2 linked regions of the Mus musculus genome follow. The protein of the gene in region 2 purifies or fractionates together with the protein of the main gene of each other region. This does not show direct contact. Links are inferred from orthologs where the notes say so. Each region holds a gene or a part of one and is shown on either strand. Other genes may lie near its edges. The genes, in order: Stx12 and Vamp5.

Evidence for each region.
Region 1: the proteins of Vamp5 (region 2) and Stx12 purify together in Homo sapiens (affinity purification with mass spectrometry; 3 studies listed by BioGRID and IntAct, with this or other methods). This does not show direct contact. The link is inferred for Mus musculus from reciprocal best matches to the Homo sapiens genes VAMP5 and STX12.

What each region holds. Positions count from the first base shown.
Region 1 is NC_000070.6:132,881,659-132,886,207, forward strand, and holds the start of Stx12 (syntaxin-12), read right to left. Parts: upstream 2,801-4,549; 5' UTR 2,708-2,800; coding exon 2,590-2,707; intron 1-2,589. UniProt on the Homo sapiens protein: SNARE promoting fusion of transport vesicles with target membranes. Together with SNARE STX6, promotes movement of vesicles from endosomes to the cell membrane, and may therefore function in the endocytic recycling pathway.
Region 2 is NC_000072.6:72,367,275-72,370,510, forward strand, and holds the end of Vamp5 (vesicle-associated membrane protein 5), read right to left. Parts: intron 3,058-3,236; coding exon 2,920-3,057; intron 2,197-2,919; coding exon 2,029-2,196; 3' UTR 775-2,028; downstream 1-774. UniProt on the Homo sapiens protein: May participate in trafficking events that are associated with myogenesis, such as myoblast fusion and/or GLUT4 trafficking.

The sequences.
Region 1 (4,549 bases), on a different chromosome or scaffold from region 2:
TGAATCGTATTTCCTACCTCAAGCAAGCTAACAATCTAACAGGGAAGATGTTCATCTTATCGCGAGAAAAAAACCCACACACTCAGCTAGGCAACCCTTTAGCCTTTCTCAGTCTGTTTCCTAGCTCATAGACTGGGAATGTTTGTAATTACTCCACAGGATTGTTACAGATTAGAATATTACATGTAAAGTACTTTTCATACGGCCTGGCACACGATGTACTTAAACAGTAGCTAGTAACATTATTAACTATTGACTCTAAGGAACCCCTTGACCCCAATGCCTAATCAACGGCTAAATCAGTAGCTATCACCAAAGAAACTGCTCCTAGACCACACCGACACCTTTTTTGTTGTTGTTTTGCTTTAAGACTCACAGCTCAGGCTGGCTTTGAACCTGGAGACTGTCTTGCCTTGGCCTCCTGAGAGCTAGGGTTACAGACCTGACTCATCACACCCAGGCTCTGGTTTTAAACTCCTTCTCTGTTCCTCCTTCCCTTTCTCCCTTTTTCCCTTTGAAAACAGACTCACAATGTGGCCCTGGATCACCTTGAACACACTAGGCAGTCTAGATTTGCTTCTAAATCATGATAATCCTCCTGCCTCAGCCTCTCAAATGCTATCGTGTACGACTATGGCCAGTTTCAACTCTAATTTTGATTTAAGTAAACACAGATTTGCAGTTAAAAGAATCTGTATCAGTTCCTATGCTTACTATACAACTTAATACTCAAATATGAAATATTCCACATACAGTCATTTAAATTAGGTTAGTCTCAATGAGAAAAAAAAAAAAAACCCACAAATTCTCTTTCTTTCTTTCCTCTCTTTCTTTTCTTCTTTCTGGTGGTTCAAAACAAGGTTTCTCTGTGTAGCCCCTGGCTGTCCTGAAACTCTGTAAACTGGCTAGCCTCTCAAACTCTGAGATCTACCTGCCTCTGCCTCTCAAGTACTGGAATTGAAGGCATGACCCCGCCCCCAACACCTGGCACAAAATTTTCTTTATTATTTTTGTGTGTATGATATGTGGAACATACATAGAACTAATGTAAACAGACACATTGTGTGTGCCAGGGAACGAGTGTGGCTGAGTGTGGAGGTCAGAGTACAGCTCTGTGGAGTTAATTTGCTCCTTCCACGTTCATCTGGGTTCTGGGGCTCAAATCAGATGGTCAGGCCTGCACAGCAAGCACTTTACCTGAACCATCTTGCCAGCCCCTTGAAAAGAATTTTCTGATTTATCCTGTATTATAGCTCCTTAACAAAAGGAAACTGGGACACAAAGTACCATACTGTCTAGTCATCAATTATTATTGTGTTTTTCATATCTGGGTTAACAAGCTGAGTATTCGTACTACCTCCATACACCCAGGCCTAACCCTTCCTGCCTGAAACTTTCTACCTCTCAAATCCTACAGTATACATTTAGATATAAAAGCAAAGTGACAAGCTGGGTGTGGTGGCGTACATTGTTAATCCCAGCACTTGGGAGGCAGAGGCAGGTGGATCTCTAATTTTGAAGCCAGCCTGGTACACAGAGTGAGTTCCAGGATAGTCAGAGCTACAAAAAAACTGTCTCAAAAAGAAAATAAAAGCACAGTGGTAGCTTATGCTTTAAAGCTTAGGACATAACTGCAATTCAGAACTGACTCTACTTATTAACAGTATAGCTAAGCTCACAAAAAAAAAAAAAAAAAAAAAAAACAGAATAATAAACAACACAGATGGTTGTCACCATTTTTAAAGTAAAATTGCTTCTGTTGTTCTGTTTACAGGGCTCTGGGATGATTCTGAAACTCAAAAACAGCCTGTACTTGACTCTAGCTACAGAAGGGAGTTTTAAGGTAAGCAGTTACAAACTGACTTGGCCCAACCCTGCCATCTCTTACTTGGTGTGTAATTGTGGCCAAGAGTAGCTCTCAACGGAGGCAGAAGAGGACATCTTCATGCTTGAAATGGGAAAAACGTTCGCTACAAAGACAACCTAACCTAAAATGTTCCCGGTGCATTCTGTGCCATAAAGCAGCAGTCCTCCCGTCCCTTAAATGCCAGGCACTGACTGACGTCCAGGTTAATTACAGGAAACACAGTGTATTAAGTCACTCGAACGCACGCATTCTCCACTTCCCTTAATTGAAAGTTGCTGATGTCTGAGGACCCAACCGCTGAGCTGAATGTGAACCTAAAGTCGCAACCAAGTAAGCACCCCCTGATCGGAACTGAGGAAAACAAGGTGGGTGGGGAGAGGGGGACGGCGACGACAGGAAAAACTCGGCTGACCACTGCGCCAAGTCAAGACTGCTGCTCACAGTCCTGGAGATGACACACACTCCCTCCCACCATCGGGGCTGTCGGCTCTGTTGACCCCCAACACCGTGAACTCTAACCGCCTAAGACAGGGGTGTGGACCTAAAGGGCCCGAGCCTGGCCGACCCAGGGAAAGGCAGCTCGCCGCGCCCAGAGTGGAGGCTCGCGACGGCCTCAAGGTGTGGCCTGAGCTGCGACCCAGACCGGGCTCCCCGACTTGGCAGCTTCACCACCGTCTGTCCCTCAGGCCGCCCCCAGCTCCCGGCTGGGTCCCCTCGCTCACTGGCTTGGCTGATCCGCTGGATGTTGCCACTGCATGTCTGGATGATGCTGTTGAAGTCCCGGGGCTGAGGCCCCGACGGCCCGGGGTTCCGATACATGTCTAAGGGACCGTAGGACATGACAGTGAGCAGAGACCGGGTCGCGCTTCGCGGCGCTCCTACCGGAAGCTGCCACTGACCGGGCCCAGCAGCTGAGAGGAAAACCGGGAAGAGAAAGGGCGGGGAAGGGACCGCGACTGCGTGCGCACTGACCCCCCGCCCATCGCGGTGCGCATGCGCGCGCTCCGCCCCATCCTGCAGTGCGCGTGTGCGGCTGGAATTGGCGGTGGGTCGTCTCTTGAGAGTTTTCGAACTGCTGGCGGTGAGCGTTCTCGCAAGACCCGACTCCTCCAGCTGTGAAGCCAGTACAGGACCGGACTTCTTCAGCCTGTCGTCTACAGACGGCGCGCCCCGCATTCCACGACCTTCCGGCCGCCAACACGCTCATCCGCATCCTGCTGCTCCCGCATCCTGCCGCTCCCGCATCCTGCTGCTCCGCGCGGCACTGTTGTTCAGGCACCCAGCAAGTTCTTGCTTTTCCAACCCATGTCAAAATCGAGGTGAATGCATGAGCATGGAATGGGACCAGTACACGTGCAGTTGTACCCGACAGGATTCGATGGTGAAAACTGTTCAACACCTAAATTTCTAGCAAGAATAAAGTTACTACTGAAACCATCCGCCAATACGGTGTGCCCCGTGCTTACCCACTTCAAGGGATTCTGGGACATTGTTGATTAACATTTCCTTCCTTTGAGGTCAGGCTGGTATACAGGGTGAGTTCCAGGACAGCCAAGGTTACATAGAGAAACCCTGTCTCGGAAAACCCACTCACACTCCAAACAAATAAAAACCATTCCCTTCCTGCGGAATTCAGTCATGAGATATGTTGCCAGCCAGATGGCATTTGATTGACAGCCCACCAACTTACAATGTGCACCACACCTACGAAAACTGGGCACCCTTCTCCAACCTCTCCTACTACATCAGAGCCTCTCCTCCTGTAACAGATGACTGCCTGACTCCCATCCTGTGAAAGGGAAGAAGAGGGTTTCTGATTCAAAAGATTATGGGGAAAATTCTAAGAAAAAAATTCATCCTTGACCCCCAGGGCTCGAATATGATATTCACATTCTTCGGCCAGCAATTCACCCACCAGTATCTCAAGACAGACCAGAAACAAGGACATATATTCACTAGAGGGCTGGGCCATGGAGTGGACATATAAGCCATGTTTATGGTAAAACTCCAGATAGACAGCATAAACTGCTCCTTTGCTTTCTCTTTTAATTATTTATTTTTATGCTCATTGGTCTTTTGCCTGTACCTGTGAGGGTGACAGAGCCCCTGGACCTGGAGTTACAGAGAGCTGTGAGCTGCCATGTGAATGCTGGGAATTGAACCTGTGTCCTCTGGAAGAGCAGCCAGTGTTCTTAACTGCAGAGTCATTTCTCCAGCCCCAAACTATGCCTTTTCAAGGATGAAAAACTCAAGTACCAGGTAATTGATGAAGAGGTATATTCTCCCATCAGAGAGATCAGGGACACTCAGGTGGAAGCAGACTGCCACTGCAAACCCCCAAATACCTGCTTTAGGGCAGATCTTGGGTTTGGCCACTGGTCATATGGTATAAGCTACACCATGAACCAGCACCACAAACCATTCTCACCGAAGCCTTACCAATCATTTGAAGAACTCAGGAGAAAGAGGCTGCTGAGTTGGAAGTTCTCTGTGGTAAAATTGATGCTGTTGGTGCTGGTTAAGAGCACTGACTGCTCTTCGATACGTTCTGAGTTCAATTCCCAGCAACCACATGGTGGCTCACAACCATCTATAATGAGAGCTGATGCTCTCTTCTGGTGTGTCTGAAGATAGCTACAGTGTACTCATATATACATTAAATAAATAAAATTTAAAAATTAA
Region 2 (3,236 bases):
GTTTTCTACCCCACCTTTCTTTTCTTTTCCTTTCTTTTCTTTTCTTTTTTCTTTTTTTCTTTTTTCTTTTTCTTCTTTCCTTTTCTTTCTTCTTCTCTTCTCTTCTCTTCTCTTTTCTTTTCTTTTCTGAGACAATTTCTCACTATGTAACTGAGACTAGCCTCAAACTCAGAGAAATCCACCTGCTTCTGCCTCCAAAGTGCTGGGATTCAAGGCATGCACCAGCATACCAGCCCACCCCCAACTCCACAGTCTTTATTTCCAGCTAACTTTCTGTTTTTGAGACATCTCTTATTGGACTAGAGCTCACCCAGGCTGGTGGCTAGTGATCCCCAGGACTCTGCCTCTCTCTACCTTCCCAATTCTGGAAATACAAGAAGGCCACCACATTAGGGGCTTTTGTTTATGTGTTTTTGAGAAAGGGTCATTGTGCAGACCAGGTTAGCCTCAATCTAACAGAGATCTGCCTGTCCCTACTTTGCCAGTGCTTGAATCAAAAGTTAATGCTACCACATTGGACCACACACCTGGCATTTAAAGATGGGTTCTGGGGAGTAACTCCGGGCCTTGTGCTCGAAAGGCAAACACTTTGTGGGATTATCTCTCTGTCATGTTTTTTGTTGTTTCTAAATGTTTTATTTTATAAAATGGTGTGTGCGTGTGTGTGTGTGTGTGTGTGTGTGTGCGTGTGCACAAGTAAGTGCAGGTGCCCACAGAGGATGATCTCCCTGAAGCTGGATTTACAGTAGTTATGAAGTGCCTGACTTGAGAGATGGAAACTGAACTTGCAGACTTGGATCCTCTGTAGAGCAGTACACCTTTTTTTTTTTTTTTTTAACTTCATGTTTGTTTTTTTTTTTGTTTGTTTGTTGAATTTATTTTTATTTTATGATTGTTGATGTTTTATCTGCATGTGTGTCTGTGTGAGGGTGTCAGATCCTTTGGAACTAGAGTTAAAGACAGCTGTGAGCTGCCATGTGGGTGCTGGGAACTGAACCTGGATCCTCTAGAAGAATAGCCAGTGCTCTTAATCTCTGGACCAGCTCTCCAACCATTTTTTTTCCTTTTAAGACAGGGTCTCTCATATAGCCCAGAATAGCTCCTAACTAACTGTAGCCAAGGATGATCTTGAATTTGTATTCCTCCTGTCTCTACTTCCTGAGTGCTGAAACTATAGATGTATGCACCACCATCAACCCCAGGACTTTGTTCATACAGGGCAGGCATTTCTGTCAACTGAGTTATACTCCCAGCAAGCCCTTTCCTTTTTATCCTTCTATCTGGAGTTCCATTGGTCCTCTGAGAATGTTCAAGATATCAAAGATGATGGATTTCATTTTCATGGGAATGGGTGCAAAGGTCTGGTTTGTGGACTACTGTGCCCTTGGCCCACATTCCTTAAAGGTCCATCTGTGTAGGACAGGATCAAGTTGGAAAAGGAGAGGAAGGGGCTGTCTCCTGAAATATAGTCCTTTGGATGAGGTGATAGGTTTTCTTTTCTTTTCTTTCTTTTTTTTTTAAGAGATTACATTAATTTGGGGGGGGGTCATATAGTATGTTTGTGCTACAGGGTCTGTGTCTGTAGTGTATATGTGTGTATGTGTATCTGTGTGTGTGTGGGGGGGGTGTATATGTGTAATGCCTATGTCTGGTGTCTGTAGGGTGTGTGTATGTATATGATATACTTTTGTGTCTGTGGTGTGTGTGTGAGTGAGAGAGAGAGAGAGAGAGAGAGAGAGAGAGAGAGAGAGCATTTTTAACCAAAGAGCAGCTTTTACTGAGCTCCAGTGGTGTGGCCTAATAGGGCCAGTGCAGCAGTCCACTCTCAAGGGCCAGTCCATGGCATGATGGGAGATGCAGAGGTGCACATAATCCTGGATGCCCTTCAGCAGTCATTTGGGTGTCCTAGATGGAAGCAAACACCAGGATTCTCTGGAGACCAAAACAGGCCAGTGCAGTCATTCAGCCTTCCCTTCAGGCCGGGCTGGGTCAGTCCCCAGTCCCTAAGGCATCACCTGCATCCTAGGCCTATGGTTTACTACTGTCCCCACCACTCGGAAGAAAGACGACCAGCAACACAATCAGGATGATGAGCAGGCCAACAGCCACTGCTAGCCCCAAGTAGACCCGGCACCGGATATTTTCCCAGCGCTTCTGCTGGGCTAAAGTCTTGGTTGTCTTGCTGAAGGCCGAACTCTGCAGATACCAAGAGATATGGGGAGGGAGTGAGGGAAGAGGGTGGGGGGAGGAGAGAGAGAGAGGAGAGAGAGAGTGTTAATGGTTCCCACAGGGCCTTAAAGCCAGCTCTCCATTCCCATGCCTTCCCGTGCTAGGATGAACTATTCCTACACCCTCCACATCCTGTCTGCTGCCTCTCCTCCACTCACTGTTCCCTGTAACCATTCTAGCCTGGCTCTTGATCTCAGTCACTGCTATAACACTTGACTCTCCATCCTGCTAGCTCACACCCACTTAGCAATACCAGGCCGTGACCACTAGGGATGCACACATCTCCAAAGACTTATTTGTTTATTTCTGTTTGGGTGTTATTGTTTGTAAGACAGGGTCTCATGTATCTCAGCTTAGACTTACTGTGCACCGGAGAATGAGCTTCTGAGCCTCTGGCCTGTCTCCTGAGTGCCGGGATCCTAGGTATACTACCACTCATGATCCATGCCACAGTGGGGTGTGAGCCCAGGGCTGTGCATGCTAAGTAAGCACTCTATCAGCTGAGCTACAGCCCCAACCCAAAGGCATCTTGGTGAAACCGACTTGTAGGAAACCCGGAAGTTGCACACTGATAAGCAGGCAAGCCTAGGAGCCCACCTAGGGCCTCACCTCCCCAGCAAAGCCTAAGCGCTCCCTCTAAGGGTCAAACTTCTCCTGTCTCTCCTCCCCCTGCTCCCATCGGTCACACACCATGTCCAGGAGCTGGTCTGAACGCTGCTCCAACTCCGCCAGCTTGCCGTGACGCTCCAGGACCTTGTCGAAATTGTTGAGCATGATTTCCGTCACTTCGTCCGCCTGCTGCTGGCATTGCTTCAGTTCTTTCCCTGCCTGAGCACCAAGCCCAAGGTCAAGGCTGCGAGGGTTCCCCACCCAGCCTTCCTCTGGCACAAAAGACCTAAAAATCCCCTACAATGTCTGTGTGTGGTGGATGAGTAATAGCCTCCTTGGTGTGTAACGACATGAGATATTCAGGTTAAAGGGCTGCCTTCTGAGCAGTTTGCTTCCAG